Pelodiscus sinensis: one gene and its partner. Each later gene encodes a partner of the first gene's protein in a complex. Links are inferred from orthologs where the notes say so. Each region holds a gene or a part of one and is shown in the gene's direction. Other genes may lie near its edges.

The links.
Region 2: ADGRG1 (region 1) and CD81 share a complex: the UniProt entries of both Homo sapiens proteins name them as parts of the GPCR-tetraspanin complex. The link is inferred for Pelodiscus sinensis from reciprocal best matches to the Homo sapiens genes ADGRG1 and CD81.

What each region holds. Positions count from the first base shown.
Region 1 is NC_134722.1:45,564,712-45,574,846, forward strand, and holds the start of ADGRG1 (adhesion G-protein coupled receptor G1), read left to right. Parts: upstream 1-6,059; 5' UTR 6,060-6,134; coding exon 6,135-6,322; intron 6,323-10,135. UniProt on the Homo sapiens protein: Adhesion G-protein coupled receptor (aGPCR) for steroid hormone 17alpha-hydroxypregnenolone (17-OH), which is involved in cell adhesion and cell-cell interactions.
Region 2 is NC_134714.1:115,678,607-115,689,750, reverse strand, and holds the start of CD81 (CD81 antigen), read left to right. Parts: upstream 1-6,145; 5' UTR 6,146-6,349; coding exon 6,350-6,415; intron 6,416-11,144. UniProt on the Homo sapiens protein: Structural component of specialized membrane microdomains known as tetraspanin-enriched microdomains (TERMs), which act as platforms for receptor clustering and signaling.

The sequences.
Region 1 (10,135 bases):
AGGCAGGCAAATCTCGGACTGGAAATTCTTTGTTGCTGATGCTACCTGACCTCCCGTTCTCCCTGAGGATCTAAACTGTGCCATCCTGTCTCTGTAACATGAGATTGCCCTGGGGGCCCTCCAGAAAACATACCAACTCTTCATCCTCTGAGCATGCAGCTTCACAAAGGATATTGGCACAGAAATGACCCGACTCAGACAGAACTCGGAGCCTGCTCTCTGTAAAAGGAGGAATCAGGCCTTCATGGGAGTTGGTCCTTACAAAATACAGCAGGTAAGGGCCTTGCCATTAAAATGCGACGCTCTCCTCCCTGCTATGGCGTCGTTGCCATTCGAATGACTATCTGAGCTGGCAAGTGGAAGACAGTGGCTTGAACGGCCGTCACAAAAGCCTTGCCAGTCCTGAATTAAGGTCAAGGGAAGGCAGAAGTTCCCTTACCGGAAATTAAACCAAACAGAACACCTACAGGCCGAGAGCAACTGGAGAGCAAAGATGGCTCTTATTGAACTTGCAGAGCGACCTGAGGGTTTCAAAGTCTAGCGGGGGGTTGAGGAGATCTTGACTCTGAGCTGTGGATGGTGGCTAGCCCAAATTGAATCTAGCTCCCCACTTAGCTATGTCAGTTGATCTGGTTGAGCTTTGCCGGCTGTTAAACAAGGTGATCTGGACACCATGCAGGCAGAACCTCTGATGTCACTGGCCAGTCAAAATCCACACAGTGACAGGAGCAAGAGGAGGGTCTTCGCCAAGATCCCGGAAGAGTCCGTCTGGGAGAAGTGGCAGGCTTCTGGGAGGCAGGACTGTGGGAGTGTGAGCTGGAAAGCAGACTTGCCTCAGCCGTGCACAGCAGAGTGAAAGCATTTTGGGCTGCTCTCATGTCAATGCTCTGGCGGCTATTTTGGATGTCAGAGTCCATTCGGGGTCCCTGATCGACTTCTGCTCAGGTGACCGGCTAGAGCTGGCCGCAGGCGGCCCATTTGCTTGCAGCCTGCAGTGTGGTTCGGGTTTACGCGGGGCTCAGCAGGTGGGATCCTTTGAACATGGCCGACACTGGGAACAAGCTCCACAGTGGCGAGGCGTCTCCCCGGCGGGGTGAGCACTGAAGAAGGCAAGCCGACGGGCTGGCTGGAACCGACAGGGACAGAGTGTCGGTGTTTCTAGCCCCCAGGGAGGAGGTGCCGGGAGCACCGGGGCATTGTGTGAAAGAAGCTGTTTGCATATCTTTGCATAGATATTTGCATGTCTATGCACCCACACTGAAGTTGCGGCTCTCGGCATGTGCTGTGAGTATCACTGTGGGCCCTGGGTTCCAAAGCTGAGTAGCCCTGAGCTAGAGCATTGTAGCCACTGGGAAGAGCAGATGCCCTGAGAGCGAGGCCGTTCCGGATGCAGATCCAGAAAACAGGGGCTGGAACTCACCCTCCATGGTTTGCTGAGATACAACATGGCAATTGCATGGTGTGTCATTACTGGGCTGGGACTCACAGAACACTGGGACTGGAAGGGACCTCGAGAGGTCACGGAGTTCAGTCCCCTGCCCCACGGCAGAACCCAGTACCATCTCGACCAGTGGTCTCCTACCTTTTTTAGCACAAGATCACTTTCTGAATTGACGTGCAATGTAAGATCTACCCCGCACCCAAACACCCTGGCCCTGCCTCCTTCCCGCCCCTTCTCTGAGGCCCCGCCCCCTGCTCTCTCCATCCTCCCTCCCCCATCCTCCCTCACTTTCACCAGGCAGGGGCAGAGGGTTGGGGTGCAGGCTCTGGTCTTGGATTAAGGGATTTGAAGTGAGAGGGGCTCTGAGCTGAGCTTGGGGCAGGCAGTTGGGGTGCCGGAGGGGGTTCTAGGTGCAGGCTCTGAGAGGGTGTTTGGATGCAGGGGGGCTCGGGGCGGGGTTTGAGGTACAGGAGGGGGTTCCTGGCTAAGGAGGCGTTCAGGATGTGGGCTCCAGCTGGGCACTGCTCACCTCAGGTGGCTCTTGGGTAGTGATGCAGTGGGGCTAAGGCAGACTCATCCCTGCCCGGGCCCTGCCCCACTCCCAAAGGCAGCCAGCAAACTCCCTCCCAAGTCCTGTTGTGCTCCTCACTCTGCTCTATGGAGATAGGATACAGAGTGGGAGAGGGGGCACCCTGACATCAGCGTCCTCTTTTCCCTCCCCTGCCCTGCCCAGCAAGCAGGAGGCTCCCAGGGATGGGAGGAGGCAGCTCTAAGGCAAAGGGCAGGCGATGCACAGCAGTGGGGGGAGGGACAGCTGAAGTGCCAGCACTTGACAGCCTCTTGGCCAAACCAGTCAGGATCCCCTGTCAGAGGTGATCTACGAAGATCTACCAGTCGATCCCGATTGACTGGTTGGTGACCTCTGATCTAGGCCATCCCTGACAGGTGTCTGTTTAACCTGCTCTTAAATAACTCCAGCGATGGAGATTCTACAACCTCCCTAGGCAATTTATTCCGGGGGAGGAGAGGAGGAAAGAGAGGGGGAAGAGAGAAAGAGAGAGAGGAAGGAAGGAAGGGGAGGTTTTTTGATAGATGGTAGGAAAACCCCACAGACATAAAGAGTGCCCCTCAGCTACAAGGTGATTTTCAGGTAGACCATAGACCCCAAGTCTATCTGCCATGATCGCTCTGAGCTCCCAAACCCAGGCCCCCACTCCAGGTCTTGTAACCTGACCTCCGGGGTCGCAGTGCCACTCTGCCTTGTCACATCCACCCCTGCGCAGATGGAGACGAGGGTGAAGGGCCCGGCTCGCTGAACATTGACCCTAGCACACGGGGGTGCAACGCAATTCAGGTCTGGCACGTCCATCTTGCCATCTGTACCAAGGCGGACGCACAAGGCCCGAAGGGTGCAGCAACCATGCGGGCCAGGTGACAATGCTTGGAGGGAGAGGCATGGCCACTCGAAGGGGCGTGGTCTGTATTCAAATGAACCACTGGGCACTCAGCCTGAGGAAGGAGGCGTCTGGTATGTCCCTCATTAACAGACCTGAATGCCTGGCAGGAGGAGCAGGCATTAAAACCTGGGGACTTGTGCATGACTAAGCTTGTACCAGACTACCCACAAGGATTTCCTATCCGGGAGAACAAAGGAAACATTATAATACAGGCGCTAACGACTCTCCTAGTTGCAGACTGTTTGCACAAGGAGAAACTTCTGATAAGCAAGAAGGAAGAGACTTCACTGCTGGGCTCTGAGGGAGGGGGTGGGTCGAAGCAGCCTCTCCTTTTATGCCCCCGCTTGGCGGCACAAGGACACGCAGGATGCATGCGCCAGCCAGCCATCTCTGCCGGATAACAGCCTCTGGCCAGGTGCCCAGGGTGTGCACACCCCCACAACGGATTGAATCCCTGCAGAAGCACTTGAGGAAGAAAACAGCTGTTCAGCCATCAACCCTCGTCAGCTATTACAGTAAAACCGGTACCTTAGATAAGGGTTGTCTGGGGCCCACGGGCAACTCAGCTCAATAGCTCATGATCAGACCTCTCTCTGCCCCACCCCCCAGCTGATGGAGGAGTGTAGACAGAGCTCAGCCCCACGCTACAGGAGCCTGGTAGGACAGTGGCTGGGTCTGTCCCCAGACCCGCACATCGCTGTGTGGCTCCAAAGCGTGGCGCTCTCACCAGCAGAGGTTGGCCCCGTAAAGGAGATGACCTCCGTCACCTTGTCTACCCACACGTCTGGCTTCTCTCTCTTTCCCGGAGCAGGCAGATGGAGCGTAGCCGATAGCGGCGGCAACAGCAGCCACCCTCTGCCCCTGACACAGCGGCGCTGACGCTTTGTAACCCTGACTGGCCCGGGAATGAAGCGAAGTCTCTTCCCACCACTCCTGAGAGTCACACCTGTCTGATGTGGTGTCGCAGCCCAGCCAGGATCTTAGACAAAAGTGGGGCAGAGGGAGCCTGAATACCTCACTCAGGCCAGGGACCCCGTGAGGGCGACCAGATGTCCACATGTTATAGGGACAGTCCTGATATTTTGGGTGTTGTCTTATAGGGGTGTGATGGTGGCTGTGTGTGTGTAAGGATGTGACACTGGCTATGTGTATATGGGTGTGACACTGGTGCTGTGTGTGTAGGGGTCTGACACTGCATAGGAGTGTATGGGTGGCTGTGTGTGAAGCGGTGTGACACTGTGTGTGTGTGTGTGTGTGTGTGTAGAGGTATGATACTGTACAGGGGTGTGACACTGGCTGTGTGGGTGTAGCGGTGTGACACTAGGGAGGTGTAGGGGTGTGACACTGTATAGGTGTTGACGCTGGCTGTGTGTAGGGGTGTGACAGTGGCTCTGTGTGTGGAGGGGTGTGACAGTGGCTGTGTGTGTGTGGGGGGGGGTGTGGCACTGGCTGTGTGTGTGGGGGGGTGTGGCACTGGCTGTGTGTGGGGGGGGGTGGCACTGGCTGTGTGTGTGGGGGGGTGTGGCACTGGCTGTGTGGGGGGTGTGGCTGTGTCTGTGTGTGGGGGGGTGTGGCACTGGCTGTGTGTGGGGGGGGGTGTGGCACTGGCTGTGTGTGTGTAGGGGTGTGACACTAGCTGTGTGTGGGGGGGGGTGGCACTGGCTGTGTGTGTGGGGGGGTGTGGCACTGGCTGTGGGGGGGGTGTGTGGCACTGGCTGTGTGGGGGGTGTGGCTGTGTCTGTGTGGGGGGGGGGGCTGTGTCTGTGTGTGGGTGGGGGGTGTGGCTGTGTCTGTGTGTGGGGGGTGTGGCTGTGTCTGTGTGTGGGGGTGTGTGGCTGTGTCTGTGTGTGGGGGGGGGTGTGGCACTGGCTGTGTGGGGGGGTGTGGCACTGGCTGTGTGTGGGGGGGTGTGGCTGTGTCTGTGTGTGGGGGGGGGTGTGGCTGTGTCTGTGTGTGGGGGGGGTGTGTGGCACTGGCTGTGTGGGGGGGTGTGGCTGTGTCTGTGTGTGGGGGGGTGTGGCACTGGCTGTGTGTGGGGGGGTGTGGCTGTGTCTGTGTGTGGGGGTGTGTGGCTGTGTCTGTGTGTGGGGGGGTGTGGCACTGGCTGTGTGTGGGGGTGTGTGGCTGTGTCTGTGTGTGGGGGGGGGTGTGGCTGTGTCTGTGTGTGGGGGGGTGTGGCACTGGCTGTGTGTGGGGGGGTGTGGCTGTGTCTGTGTGTGGGGGGGTGTGGCACTGGCTGTGTGTGGGGGTGTGTGGCTGTGTCTGTGTGTGGGGGGGGGTGTGGCTGTGTCTGTGTGTGTGTGGGGGGGTGTGGCACTGGCTGTGTGGGGGGTGTGGCTGTCTCTCCGCGCACAGCCGGCCGGAGGGGGCGGGGTAACTCGCAGACTCAGGGCGGCTCCGCAGGACGCTGCAGGTGAAGCCGCCCCCGCCCCCCTGGAGGTCGCTCGCGGGCGCCGCTGCAGCCCAGCCCGCCTGGCCCCGGCCGGGTCTCGCCTCGGAGCGCTCCCGCCGGACGCGGCTCGCCCTGCAGCAGCACCAAGGTACCGGCTCGGCGGCGCCTCCCCCGCCGCTGGTGGGCAGAGCCCGGGCCCGTGGGGCAGGGATCGGGCCCCGGGCCGGGCCGTCGCCTCCCCCGCGCTCCCGCCCAAGGAGGCTGCAGGCGCCGGGAGGGCTCTCCCGGGACCGGGGCGAAGGGGGCTCCCGTGCGGGGGGCCCGGAGCCAGCGAGCGCCCAGCCCGGCCCTGCCCGCCCCGCCGGGGCTCCTGGAGCAGCCCGGCTGGGGCCAGGTGCGGCTTTGCTCGCTCCGCAGGGCGGGGGCGTTTCAGGGCGCACCTGGCGCTGTAGCTGCGCGGGGATTTGCAGCCGGGGCTGGGTCCGAAATGTTTCCGTGGCCCTGGGGCAGGCTGCGCCCCCCCCCGCCCCCCCACGGTCTCCTATAGGGCGAGCAGCTCTGGCGATCACAAAGCAGCCTTCCCTCCGCGGCGTCTCCGCGCTGCCCGGGGGAGGGGCGGGCCCAGGCGGGCTCCTGCGCTCCTTCCAGCTCGCCTCCCCCCTCCGGGATTCCTGAGGGAGCCCAACTTTCTCTAGCCGGAGCTAGAGCAGCCTGGGTGCCCTGCTTGGCCAGCAGGAGACAGAGCGATGGGGTCAAGCTGGGGTGTGTGTGTGGGGGGGGAGGGTGACTTCCTTGGGGCCTGAATTCCGATATTTGCCCACCCTGGGGTGTGTTTTCCAGCTGGATGGGTCTGGCCCGTCCTAGGCAGCGGGGAGTCATTGCCATTAAACAGTTAACACTCCCCCACCCCACCAGCTGCCCGGCACAGCTGACCACAGGCTCTTGGAGAAATGTCCCACTGCAGCAGCCCAGGACTCAGCTGTGCCAACACCTGCTGGGGAGCAGCAGGGATCTGACCACAGAGTCAGGCAGGTAAGGAGAAACTGGAGTGGTGGAGGAGGGAGGAGAGTTTTATTCCAGCCGGGTGTGAGCAGTCTTCTTGGTGGATGGATCCCGCCCTTCAGGTCTGGCGAGCCTCCTGCAATGTTGCCCCACCTCTTTCTATTTGTGGACTAAGGATGTTAAGAGGCAGGCAATGAAGTAATTGTGTAGTCGATACCGTTTGTATCAACTACGGGATTAGTCGGTAAGGGAAGGTGCTACCCCAGCTGTGGTTCTGCAGTTTAAATCTAGTAAGAGTCAGGACCATGGTGGACAGAAGCGGCTGCCTTTTACTACATTTTAAATAGCAGAGCCATGGCTGGGGTAGCTCCTTCTGAGGGCCTTTCTGTATTGACTGTCCTTAAGCATCCTTAATGAAAAGGCTCAGAGGGATAGCTGGGTTAGTCTGTAACTTGAAAAACCACGAGTAGTCTTGCGGTATCTTAGGGACTAACAAAAAAAATGGAATCATGAGCTTTCGTGGGCTTTGCCCACGAAATTGGAGTGGAAATAACAGAAAACCAGATGTATATATTTAACAGCAGAACAAGTACCTGTCAATTGTAGGGCCTGTGTTAATGAGGCGAATTAAGTGGTCTGGATGTGTCCCGTTCACAGCATTTGTTGTGAAAATGTGCATGATAGAGGCAGGAGAAATTGGCTTTTCTTTGTGCCAACCAGTTAAGGTGTTTGTTCAAGCCTACGGTAACAGTGTCAAATTTGAAGATGAATTCCAGTTCTGCAGACGCTCTCTGTAATTGGTTAGTGAAATTCCTTTGTAGAAGAATGGCTACTTTTAAATCCATGATTGAGTGACCAGGAAGATTAAAATGTCCCCTGACAGGTTTATGCATGTTATGGATTCGAACAGAGGTTCCTGCAACGACCATTAGGCATAAGTGTCTGCTCCACGTTTGTGCCCTTACTGGACATAGCTGGAGTTTGCACTGTTGTAACCAGGTTGGTCCTGGGATATTAGAGGGACAAGGGGGTGGTGAGGTCATAGCTTTTATCGGACCAACTTTGGGTAGTGGGCGAGACCTGGCGAAGAGAGCCGCCTGCGGTCCCACAGCTCAGGGAGGAGGGAGAACGTGCTGAGAGAGGTGCTGGAAGGCTGACATGGCTGATTTAGACAACTTGCTGCCCCAGGCCGGGTGGGAATTTTGCCCTGGCGCTTTCTGCCTGGCGCTGTCTGCACGGCTGTGACCTGCAGGGTTCGCGCAGCTCAGGCCGTGACGATAAATGTTACATATTTGACTGCCGTCCAAATCTTAATCCAGCGACTGGAGAGATGGGAGTGGGGGAGGGAGAAGATCAGAGGGCGGCAGGTTTGTAAACAACAGCAGGCATGGTGGGAAAGGAGAGCTCGTGGCGCTTTAAAGCTGGGCTGGTGGAAGGCTGGGAGCTGTTCCCAGAGCTTGCTATGCTCTGTTGGGTTTGATGGAGATGGTTTTCTTTAGCAGCCATCCCTCACAATGAAACAGCAGGGCGGGGGGAGGGGAGTGGGGCTGCCACTGGACTGCTGAGTCCGACCATTGAGTTTTTAGCTGCTCTGTTGAGACCATCTCGGGACCTAATTGGTGCCGCTGTAGGTGGTGGTTTTGACACCTGCTCCCACGTAGCCACGCGGGGACCCACCAACACGTTTCCCAGCAGCTCCGAAGCAGCTGCTACCCGGGGCTAACGTCTTGCTCGCTCCCACCCTGGGCTGGGCTAGAAGCGGGGATTCTAGCTACGGAGGGAAAGCGTGCACGAGGCGTAACGAGGAGGGAAAGTGGTGACACACAGAGCTGGAATGAACGCTAAGTGGTGTGTCATGGGAAATGGTGGCGAAAGCCAACTCCAAGCCCTTTCTTTTAGACAGGCTGATGGCTCTTTACGAACCATTAACTGATAAGTCATGGCCATTCCCCCTGCCCCCCACCCCACCCCACCCCCACGTCCTGCTCTGGACACGTGGTGAGCCAGAGTGTGAGACATTCGCGGAGGCGGCTCGTGAAGCAGGAGGGTGGCAAAGCCCTCACGGCCCGAGGCAGCTGAGAAGCCGGCCAGAGGAAGCCCACCTGTTAGAGGGGGAGCCCCATAGAGAGGGGAGAGCAACTCCTCTGCCCCCCCCGCTCCTGACGGTTGGCAGAGGTTGGCAGACGTCTGCCTTGGGGGCGGAATGCTGTAGCTGATTAACTGATAAGCAAAAGCTTTATAGGTTAATGCATTTCCCCCCCCCCCCCCCCACAAATTGTTTAGCTGGCTCAGTGCCCGGTCTGAGACCTACCCACGCTGTGGCTCTGCATTTAAAGTGTATCAGGAGCCAGGCAGCCTGGCTCAGTTCTGGCTCGTGCAGGATCCGGGAGCTCAGCACCCACCCTGGACAGCAGCGCGGGGTGGCAGGCACCCGGTCCTCGTGAGGAGCTGGTTTTTAAACAGGCTCCTCTAATGGACCAGCACCCACAGGGTACACCACGCTGCTGCCTCTGATTCAGAGCAGCAGTGTGGGGTGATGGGGCTCCTTGGGGGTGTGGCCAGTGTGCGCTGGCTGCTGGCCCCGCCCCCAGGGACTATAGAAGAGTCGAGTAACTGATAAAAACTCACGAGGTTAATCGACTATTCAGTTAACTTCCCTACGCTGCCTGTCTCCAGCTGCCATAATAGGCCATTGGAGACCCCAACGAGGGGACCGCTGGCTCTGATTCGTGCTGGGGACTGAACAGCTGAGGATCGGGGCCCTCTCAAAGCCATCTTTGCCTCCACCCCCATCCCACTGTGCACCGAGGGTGAGATGGCGGGTGCAGAAGGGCAAGCCCCATGGAGCTCAGGGAGGAAGCCGGCTTTAAGACACTGCTGGGCCTTGGGATTTGGGGCTACTTCCGGGATTTAAATAACCTTCCAGCAGGGGAGCGAGGGAAGTCTCCTCCCACACCAGGGGCATGGGCATCTTGGGGGAACTTGGGGTGGGGCAAAGGCACTCCCTCACCCCCAGACCTGTCATTGTCTGAGGGTGGGAACCCAGAAATATCTTGCCCTGCCCCTTCCGCTCAATGCCCGGAGCCACTTCCAAACTTTTCGAAGTGGCCCCTGGCAAAAAATTATTGCCCGTCCCTGCTCTAGACACTGCTGGCCCACTAGGTCTGAGGATCGGGGCCCACCGCTATAGCAACAGTCCCTGCGTGGCCTAGGTTTGGTCACCGAAGCCACGGCTGTGGCAGACGCCCTGTGACCCATCCCCCTCGCGCCTCCAAGCTCCCAAGAAGGTTTGCCAAGCCCTGCCTCCCCCCTTTCCAGGGCAGAGCACAAAGGCTCTTGTGCGGGCGGATGCATGGCCCCAGGTTGTGTGACTCACTCCCCGCTCCGCTCCCTGGCACTTGGCAGGTGGCCCGCTTGCCCTTGGGTGTCACATGAGTTTCTGCCATTCCCGAGGAATTCTGCATTCATTGAAGAGCCGTAAACATTCGGCAAGTCGTGATCAGACTACAAAGGAGTCTATAAAAGCACATTGAGGCTGACGGGTCAAAGGGCTGTCTGCACACAATGCTGCCAGTCTGTGGGTCTGATTTGAATCCCTGTACCCTGGTTTTCTCTTTTCTGTGGGCCGCTGACTGCCTGGCATTTTCCGTGGTTGAAGGCTCCTCGAAGAGGTGTGTCAGACCAGGGTGCGCTTACACCTCGCAGGAGGGACGGTGGGGAGAGAGGCCCAGCCGTGGCAGAGAGGAGAGTAGGACTTGCACTGTCACCAGTTTCACAATTTCCGAATTAACCTGTCTAGGCACCTTCAGGCGGATTCTCTGCAGCGTGGGCTGAAGGCTGAGA
Region 2 (11,144 bases), on another chromosome or scaffold:
CTCAGATCTTCAGAGGACCCAACTCGTATTTATTTCATTGGGAATTAGGCACCTAATTATCTTTGAGGCTCTGGGGCCAAGTGGATTTCCACACCATCCATAGCTTTACAGATCTCTGCTTTCCCAATAAGGTCACATGAGAGAAACACAAGTTTTGACATGGTACTTTCATTTACCCATAATAAAATGGACACCAGTGATTCAAAAGCTATAATAAACACTGTGCTGCTGGGCCCCCCTCTTGTTCCTTTCTGGTACATTCCTAGAAGCTGGAGTGCTTGTCACGGAATGTGTTTCTCTGATACCAGTGTAAGTTTACAGGAAACCTGGATGTATTGCACCACCAGCTGATTTAACCCAGAAAATATGATTCCCTTCAGGGTGAACAGATTTCATCTGGTTGTAATTTGGTAGCAAACTGACCCATCTCTAGTATAAGGAAATAAAATATGCATGTGTTGCCAACAAGTGGATATAATTCCAGTGTTGAAGTGTGGACACTCTGGATAATTTCACATTGAATCAAACTGATCTCAGGCTAAACTGATGGAAGGCTCAGCATTGCAGTTCTGGAATACTGTATTTGAAATGTTCCCGGGGGGATATTTAATTCCAATACAGATTATAACAGAAGACCAAACAAAAAATGCTGTTATAATTAAAGCACTGACTAAGGATCAGGAATGTATGGGTTCAGTTCTTGGCTTTACTACAGACTGTGTGTGTGAAAAGAGGATAATCACTCAATAGCTCTGTGCCTCAGTTCCGCATCTGTAAAATAGGGATATTCCCTTTTTTCATCTTGTTTAATAAAATTGTAAGCTCTTTGCAGCAAGGACTCGCTGGCCTAAGAATCAGTGGGAGGTAGGTGTCCAAATACCTTTGAGGATCTGGATCTCTCTTACTATGTGTATATAAAATACTCAGAACAATGGGATCTGGATCTTCGTTGGCACCTGTAGGTGCTACATTCATAAATAATAGTTTTGCCATCTTCATTTTGATATTATTCTCCCTATGTAGTTCAGACATTATCTCCAGCAAGTTCTTGGAATGTACTGGAGACATTTTTTTTTAATTTCAGAAGGTGAGAAAGCTATTGGAGGGAAGCAGTTCTAGATTTGATTTTAACAAGTAGGAAGGAATTGATTGAGAATTTGAAAGTGGAAGGCAACTTGGATGAAAGTGATCATGCAATGATAGAGTTAATGATCCTAAGGAATGGTAGGAGGGAAAAAAGCAAAATAAATCAATGAATTTCAAGAAGGCAGACTTTAATAAACTCAGGGAATTGTTAGGGAAGGTCCCATGGGAAGCAAGTCTCTTGGGCTACGTCTACACTGCAGTGCTATTTCAGGATACCAGAGGTATCCCAAAATAGCTATTCTGCGTCTTTTGAGCATACCTGTTATTTCAAAATATAACAGGCTTACTATTATGGCATCCCTCTAAACCTCATTCCACAAGGAGTAAGGGACGTTTCGGAATAGCGATTTATTTTGAAATAACTGCTGAGTAGACAGCACTACATTTTGAAATAAGCTATTTCAAAGTTGACTCAAAATAAGCTATGCAATTTGCATAGCTCAAATTGCATAGATTATTTCGAGCTATGAGTGCAGTATTGACACACCTTAAGAGGAAAAAAAAATTGGAGAGTTGGCAGTTTTTCAAAGGGACATTATTAAGGGTGCAAAAGCAAACTTTCCTACAACACAGGAAAGATAAGAAGTACGGAAGAGACCACGCTGGTTTAACCAGGAGATCATGAGTGATATGAAAATCAAAAAGGAGTCCCACAAGAAGAAGAAACTAGATCAAGTTATAAAGGATGAATACAGACAACAAAACTATGTATGGGGCAAAATTAGAAAGGCATAGGCTCAAAATGAACTCAAACTAGCTAGTGACATAAAGGGTAACAAGAAAATATTCTACAAATGTTTTAGAAGGGGAAGGACAGGTTGGAACCACTACTCAGTAAAGAGGGGAAAACAATAACAAAAATGTGGAAATGGCAGAGGTACTTAATGGCTTCATTTTGGTTGTCGCTAAGATGGCTGGTGGTGATTGTACACCTAGCATTGTGATTGCTGGTGAAAATAAGGTAGGTTCCGGAGTTAAAAAAAATTAGAAAAAGAATAAATTAACAATTACTTGTACAAGCTAGATGTCTTCAAGTTCCCAAGGCCTGATGAAATGCATCCTAGAATACTCAAAGGAGCTGATTGAGGAGATATCTGAGCCATTAGCCATGACTTTTCAAAGATAATACAAGACAGGAAAGATTCCAGAAGCCTGGAAAAAGCCCACCTATAAAAAGGGAAATAAGGACAACCCAGGAAATACAGGCCAGTCATTTTCACTTTTGTAACAGGAAAGATCATGGCACAAATAATTAAGGAATCCACTTGCAAACATCTAGAAGATAATGAGAGAAGAAACAGTCAACATGGATTTTTAAAGAACAAATCATGTCAAACTAACCTGATAGATTTCTTTGATGGCATAGCAAACCTTGTTGATAAGAGGAAGTAGTAGAAGTGGTCTACCTAGACATTAGAAAAGCTTTGGATTCAATCTCAAATGTCTTTCTCATTAATAAACTAGTGAAATACAACGTAGAGTGGACTACTATATAGTGGGTGCATAACTGGTTGATTATTCCCAGAGAGTAATTATCATGGCTCGACAAACCGCGGCGAAATCCACTTGCCAGCCCCACACCATGCATGCGCCAGACCCGCACTGCGCATGTGTGCACCGCCAGTGAACAGGGCGACCGGCTAAAATCTACTCGCCACAGGCGAGTAGATAAAAAGGTTTGTCGAGCCCTAATAATTATCAATAGTTCACAGTCATTATGGAAGGACATAATGAGTGGGGTCCCACAGAGCTTGGTAATGGGTCTGGTTCTGTTCACTATCATCATCAACGATTTATATAATTACATATAGAATATTCGTATAAATTTTGTGGAAGATCCCAAGCTGGGAGGGGTTGCAAGTGCTTTGGAGGATAGGATTATAATTCAAAATGATCTTGACAAACTGGACAAATGGTCTCAGGTAAATAGGATGAAATTCCATAAGGACAAATGCAAAGTACTCCACTTGGGAAGGAAAAATCAACTGCACACATGCAAAATGGGAAATGACTAGGGTTGCCAGGTGTCCGGTTTTGAACCAGACAGTTCAGTATTTGAGCGTTCTGTTCGGGAAACAAATTGAGAAAATATAAATGGCCGGTATTTTCTAAATAAGATGTAATGTAGATTGTGATGTAATGTCAAGTGTGTCCAGTATTTTTGCTGAAACCATTTGGCAACCCTAATGACTGCCTAGGAAGGAGTACCGTATTTTCCGGCGTATAGGGCGACTGGGTGTATAAGACGACCCCCTATCTTTTTAATTAAAAGATAGGGTTTCATCTTATACCCCAGCGCCCCTCCGCCTCCTTTGCTCCCGGTGTCCCTGGTCTGCTGGAGATGGTCCCCAGCAGACCAGAGGCACCGGGAGCAAAGCCGCCAGGAGCGCCTGGGCTGCCCCCCCCCCCCCCCGCCGGAGCCCCTCCGAGGCTTTGAAAGCCTCGGGGGAAGCCGGCGGGGGGGCATCCCAGGCGCGCATGGGCTGCCCCCCCGCCGGAGCCCCTCCGCGGCTTTGAAAGCCTCGGGGGAAGCCGGCGGCGGGGCATCCCAGGCGCGCATGGGCTGCCCCCCCGCCGGAGCCCCTCCGCGGCTTTGAAAGCCTCGGGGGAAGCCGGCGGCGGGGCATCCCAGGCGCGCATGGGCTGCCCCCCCGCCGGAGCCCCTCCGCGCCACCGCGGAGGGGCTCCGGCAGGGGGGCAGCCCATGCGCGCCTGGGATGCCCCGCCGCCGGCTTCCCCCGAGGCTTTCAAAGCCGCGGAGGGGCTCCGACGGGGGGGCAGCCCATGCGCGCCTGGGATGCCCCGCCGCCGGCTTCCCCCGAGGCTTTCAAAGCCGCGGAGGGGCTCCGTCGGGGGGGCAGCCCATGCGCGCCTGGGATGCCCCGCCGCCGGCTTCCCCCGAGGCTTTCAAAGCCGCGGAGGGGCTCCGGCGGGGGGGCAGCCCATGCGCGCCTGGGATGCCCCGCCGCCGGCTTCCCCCGAGGCTTTCAAAGCCGCGGAGGGGCTCCGACGGGGGGGCAGCCCATGCGCGCCTGGGATGCCCCGCCGCCGGCTTCCCCCGAGGCTTTCAAAGCCGCGGAGGGGCTCCGGCGGGGGGGCAGCCCATGCGCGCCTGGGATGCCCCGCCGCCGGCTTCCCCCGAGGCTTTCAAAGCCGCGGAGGGGCTCCGGGGGGGGGGGGGCAGCCCATGCGCGCCTGGGATGCCCCGCCGCCGGCTTCCCCCGAGGCTTTCAAAGCCGCGGAGGGGCTCCGACGGGGGGGCAGCCCATGCGCGCCTGGGATGCCCCGCCGCCGGCTTCCCCCGAGGCTTTCAAAGCCGCGGAGGGGCTCCGACGGGGGGGCAGCCCATGCGCGCCTGGGATGCCCCGCCGCCGGCTTCCCCCGAGGCTTTCAAAGCCGCGGAGGGGCTCCGACGGGGGGGCAGCCCATGCGCGCCTGGGATGCCCCGCCGCCGGCTTCCCCCGAGGCTTTCAAAGCCGCGGAGGGGCTCCGGCGGGGGGGCAGCCCATGCGCGCCTGGGATGCCCCGCCGCCGGCTTCCCCCGAGGCTTTCAAAGCCGCGGAGGGGCTCCGGGGGGGGGGGGGCAGCCCATGCGCGCCTGGGATGCCCCCCCGCCGGCTTCCCCCGAGGCTTTCAAAGCCGCGGAGGGGCTCCGGCGGCGGTGCATCCGGCGTACAAGACGACCCCCGATTTTGGGGGGATGTTTTTTAACATCAGAGGTCGTCTTGTACGCCGGAATATACGGTATTGCAGAAAGGGATCTAGAAGTCATAGTGGACCGCAAACTAACTACAAGTGAACAGTTTGACACTGCTGCAAAAAAAGCAAACCTCATTCCAGTATGTAAAAACAGAAGTGATATAAGCCAGTGTTTCTCATCCTTTTTTATAAAGTACCCCTTCACAAAAAATATATATATATAAGTACCCCCAGTACCTACAGTTTTCAGACACACAATTTTTTTCTACCATTGCAACACCTTTGTTTAAACAACTTCATCGTAGCAGGGTGGGCGCTGAAATTTGTGGGTCTAAAAAGTACAAAAATAATAAAACGCAATAAAACTTAAAACAAAAATTCAGTTTTCTCCAAATTTCAATTGTGTTGACATATCCCCCACACTTCTCTTGAGTACCCCTAAGGGTACTCGTACCACTGGTTGAGAAACACTGATATAAACAAGACACAAGCAGCAAGATTTCCACTCTACTCTACACTGATTAGGCCTCAGATGGAGTGCTTAAGTTTACTTCCCTAAGTAGTCACATTGATTTCAATGGGAGTAGTCCCCACAGTATAGTTAAGCATGAGTAAGCATGAGACTGGGATGTGGGGGTGCAGGAGTCTTAGCTGGTGTGTATAATGGGCACAGAGTTGGAGTGTGGGGGTGCAGGGATGTTATGGCAGGGGCTGGGGTTGTGGGGGGTGCAGGAGTCCAGGTTGGGATGTATAAGGGGCTGAGGACAGGGGGTTGAGGTGTATGATGGGCTAAGGGAACAGGGTTGGGGCTTGGGGGGGTGCAGGGGTGTTATGGCAGGGAGCTGGGGATGCGAGGGTGTTTTGTGGCATCAGGTCTAATACAAATTATACATATTAGATGGGGATGGGGCCGGGGGGGGAAATCAATGCGCAAAAGCTTTCCCAAATTTAAAACGGCCAGATTTAACCTGAACTACCCCAAATTTCCAGCAGGCATCTGGAAAAATTCCCAGGCACAGAGCGGCTCCACTGCTGAATTCAATGATCCTTTAGCAATATATTTTTCAGTAGTCACTTTGATTTGTAAACCGGGACCCAGAGCTACTTATCCATCAGTCTCCTCTCAGAGTTGCTTGAGAACGGCCAAGTATTATTATTTATTATTATTATTATTATTTATTATCATCTCTGTGGCATTTCAGACGTGGGTTGAAAGTCGGCGGGGGGACTTTGGGCTGGCTGCCCCCAGGAGGCGGTAGCCTCTTCTGGAAAAACGACCTACGTCTGAGTGGGAGGATCCTGGCTTAGCAACAGAGTCGGGGGGTGTCTGTAGTGGAAGGAGGGAGGAGATAAAGCGGAGAAACAGCCTAGCACCTCGCCAGTCAGCGGAAGTCCCAAAGGAAAACAGAGAGGACCACCCTCTACAAGAGCTGCGGCGCTTTTGCTCGCTCTGATTTAACAGGCCCCGTCTGGCAGGCAGCTCTGCCCACCGACCTCTGCCGCCATGGGAGTGGAAGGCTGCACCAAGTGCATCAAATACCTGCTCTTCGTCTTCAATTTTGTCTTTTGGGTGAGTGCGCTTCTTCCCCCCTGGTCTCGCGGCGCTGCAGGGGGCGGCGTGGTGTCTCCTGCGATGCGTGGGGGGCTGTGTTGTGTTTTCTCCTCCTGGCTGGGGGGGGGGGGGGGAAGATTCCCTCCCCCAAACAATGCAGCGGGCTCAGCATGGAGCGGCGACTTGGCTTTGCTTGGTGTGAGCTGGAGGCGCAAAACCTCCTGCCCCGAACCGCTACGAGCGATGAGGGAGCTGCAGAGGGCTTGGAAGATGGAGGAGGCTTAGCCCAGGAAAAATGGTTGTTGCATTGGAAACACACAAGGGCCTGAGCCGTGAGCTCTTCCTATCCTGCTAAGGAACCGTTCAGAATTGGGTTTTTTTTTAAAAAAAAAAATATCCCCGTAAATCTAGAGGTGGGTTTTAACGGGCTGTTACATTCGGAAGGCTTTCGTTGATTGATCCAGGGTTAAAATGCACCGACGCCCTCCAGAGTTAGTAAACCACCTGTAAACTGAATTGGTAGACGCTTGGGAGGCATGGAGGAGCTCTGTTTATCTCTGCTGAGTGGAGAAGGTGTGGGTACTAAGTCTGGTGCGTAGTTACATAACATCTGAGGGTGTTTCGCTCGTGGGAATGAGTTATAACTACATCTGCAGACCGATTTGTCTTCTGGCGTTCTAGTAGATGGGCACTAAATAATCACTAAAGCGTGCAAACCCGTGATTAGAGGCTGGAAACTGGAGTCAGACCTGTTTCTCCCCCCCCCCTTTCCTTTCCTTTCCTTTTTTTTAAAGGGGGGGAACCTCTTCTATAAAGATTTTTTATCTGTGTAATTAGTTTTGATGCCAAATGTTCTAATATGTAGAGTGAAGTTGGCTCTAAAAAACAAATTAGCTCAAAATGAGGAGACACGTAAACCTGATTTTAAAAAAATCTATCTAGTGCTCCTCCTCTTCTGGTATTGCGAACAGGGAATCCGGACAGAGTGGGGGAGGATGTTTCCCAGCCTTGAGATATGAATGGGAAACTGTTGCTGTGAGATTAAGACTGAGAGTTAGGGTTGGTTGCTTGGGAAAGGGCTGCTACGGGTAGGAAGGAGAGAGTTAAAAGCCAGTTAGTTGTTTATAAGCTAGACAAATTAGGACGAGCTACATAGAAGGGCGATCTACACCCCTCCCATCGTCTCGCACTCTCTCCCTGCTTGGAGAATTTTGCAGGGACCACACCCCGAATCTCGGGAAAATCTTTGCCTGAGTTTCCACGGCTCTAGATTTTAGAAGAGATCCGGTTTTGGTTGTTTTTAAGTAACGGTCTGAAGAACTTGAGCCCTGTTGTTTTTCATGTTATTTGAGAAGTAAATCTTACCCTGTACATAGCAAGAGGGGTTTTCTAGTAGTTGCCTGCAATGAATAGTTAATCAGCTCTACACCACTGTGTTAATTGAACAATAGGTTGCATAGGCCTGTCTGTGTAATAAGGTCAACATGTTTGTCCCAGTTATGAGCCCCCCCCCCCCAGGGTTTTTTTGTGGGTGAAGGGCTGTGTTCTTTGTTCTGTTTGGCTATTTATTTCTCATGCCTTTTCCTTCCTGAGTTGGAGCTGATGTGTCCAGTTATTGCTGGACATGTTAGGGTCAGTCAGTGATGCTTTGGTGCTAGGATGACCAGGGCTGTCTCAGATGATTGGTGGTTCTTGCAGCTTTTTTACAGCCTGTGCAGTAGTGGAACACCACCTCCCTGCCCTGCTTTTGCTGGCAGGAAAGGATACATCCGTTTTCACCCTACTTTTAAACTGAGTTGACCGCATATATTTCCATTGATCGGACCCCACCACTGAGCAGCACCATCTCAGAGAGGCAGTTTAGACTAGAGGGAGACACTGCTGGGAACTCCTTTTCATTCCCATGAAATTCTGGTTCCCTGGGAATCCCTGGCTCCGCTGACAGCTAGAAAATGCAGTGCCTGGAACTGTGAAATGAAGCGTTCACTGAGGGTGAAGTCTGAAGTTTTTAAAAAATATTATTTTGAAACACCCATTTCTTCTTGGTTGTGTGAACTGACAGCACTTGTTCAAGATAATCTGTTTATATGATTCCATCCCCATCCCACCCCAGCTAGTGAAAGATGATTATCTACAAATGTCTTCTTTTCTGGTTTGCTGGTCATAGACACAGGAAACACTGCTTTAACCGATAACTGATTGTGTTTTCTGGGGATTTCCTATTTATTTGCTTCCCTGGGCTCCAGCTCTCCTCTCCTCAGTAAGTTGGCAGCACTTTTAACTTGGGCCATACTGCCAAGCATGCCTAATCTGCAAGTAGCTATACTGGCAAAGCTGTACTTATAGCAGTATAATGTATTCCACACACCTACAGTCCCATCCCCCCCCCAACACACACACAGTACCAGTAAAAAATAAAAAAAAGTCTAAGGGGTAGCTGTGTTAGTCTGTAATTTAAAAAAAATTCCCACGTCCAGCCCTTTTAATTAGCTTCATAATTGTCCAATAATGTCTGATGATGTCTTCATAATAGTCTGATAATTGTCCGGTACTTCTTTTGCATTTATATATACACCTTGGATTCTGTTATTTCCACTCCAACTCATCTGATGAGCTGAGCTCATAATCCTATATGTTTTTGTTAGTCTCTAAGGTGCCATAGGACTACTTATTGTACCAGTCAAAGCACAATTTTGTTAGTATAATGACATCTGTAATAGGGGCTGGCATAGCTGTGTCTGTCTGGGACCATGCCACTGATTGATGACTAATGCCAGCAGAAGTCTGTAGTGTAGATGTGATCTCATTTTGCAGTGCTGTGAACTTCTCTGGCACCTTTCCTCAGAAGATCTTGAATATTTACAAGCATGGATGGCTTAATCAACATGGCTCTGGCCATGAAAGCATCAGTTCCATTTTACAGATAGGTAAAGTGACACCCAAGGGCATCCAGAGAGCAAGTTTTCAATCTGGGAGTGGAACTTCAGACTTTTTGCTGTTCCAACTGCTGGACCACATGTCTGCCCTCTGTTATCCTTTCCCATGTATTCAGTACTACTGTCTGGACACACTGGCATCTCCTTAATTCCCCTTTAAAGTAAGTTCAACTGCAACCCACCCTTGTTGCACTGCATGTTCTCCAATGTAATAGCTCCCTATGAAATCATAACCAGAACGTAGACACTTCATCTCTGGTGTACATTCATGTTTAAAAATGAGCCTCATGCAATATTTCCAACAGTCTCATTATAACAAGATTGTAGAAAATTAGCATCTTCATCTAAGCACCATATTTTGGAGTCACTGCTCTTTCCTTCTTTGTTCCTTCCCAGTTACCTAGTTCATCAAGGAGCTTTTTCTTTTCTTTGTCCTAGTTTCCTGGCTTAGTTGTGGGTTTTTTTGTGTGTTGGTTTTTTTTTGACTGGGGGGGAAGTTGTTCTTTGTGGCGACGCTAAGCTCCAGCAGGAAGGATGTACAGCAACTATATGAACAACATGCAGTTGCAGAGCAAACCTGCCTGTTCACATCCACCCTGGTCTGTCTCATAGGAAATGACTGTTTTCCTAATTGTGTCAATGTTGCTTTTTCGTAGAGACTAGTGCACTCTCTTTTCTCTCTTTTGAAAATGTCCTTAATGAAGAGACCCTTTCCTGCGTCTGTCAAGAGAGGGACAGAGCCTCCTCCCCCCTCTGCCTTCCTTTCCAATAGAGCTATTTTATTTGACACTGGGAGGAGGAGGAGGTGGTCAAGGACTGGTAGAGCTGGAGTTGTGCTCTAAGTTCATTAGAAGGGCTGTTTAATAGTGGCATTTTGCACCTACTATTAAAAGCCATGGCCCATGTTTCCAGAAGTGACTAGTGTGTTTTGGCTGCCTAGCTCGAGAGATCCTGATTGCTCCTTCTTCAGAGAAGGAATAGAAGTGCCTCCTATTTGTTCCATGAATAATGGAATGTTCAGACTGTCAGAAATGGTCCTGAGAGGCATTGAACTCCCCAAAATACAGGATGTCTAGTCTTAGTGCTGGAATCTCCACCAGGAAGAGAACACTCTAAAGAGGCAAAGCAAACGTACCTACAGGCGTGTCAGCAACACACAGTGGCAATTATTCTGCTGATTTAAGGATTGGCACAAAGGACTCCCTTGTAAATCTGTTTTGGAACTGGGAGCAATAGCATGGGAACCTCATAGGTGGCAGAAGCTTCATCAAGTGAGCTGTTTCGAACCCAGCACAGATGACAGACTGCTTTGGCCCTGTTGAGCCTCCATCCATTGGTGCCATCCTTGTTCCCACTCAGGACTAAGAGTTGAGAACTATGCCCGCCCATCATTCTGAAGGTTTTGACTGGTACCTTTCCATGGGTAGTTGGTTGTGGTTGGGATCAGCACATAAGCTGTGTCTGTCTCCACTACTGACCCTCGTTATCAAGCAGTTTCATCCCAAATGATGCTTGCTTAGAGGCTCAGAAGCTGGGAGATGTCTTGGGGCAGTTGTGGGCAACCCTGCAGCCCAGTGAGGTCATAAGTGTGGCCCACGATACCACTGGTTTCAGTCCATGTAGTTTTTTTCCTATTGGTATGCAAGTGCAATTAGCAAAACTGCCTTATCCCAGGGGACTGTCTTGGTTACAACAACCTTGCAGCCCACTGAGTTGGAGGGCCACTCACGTGGCCCATTCACTAGCCTGAGTTGCCCACTGCTATCTTAAGGTATCTCTACACAGCTAGGAACATTCCCTTTCCCCCCCAG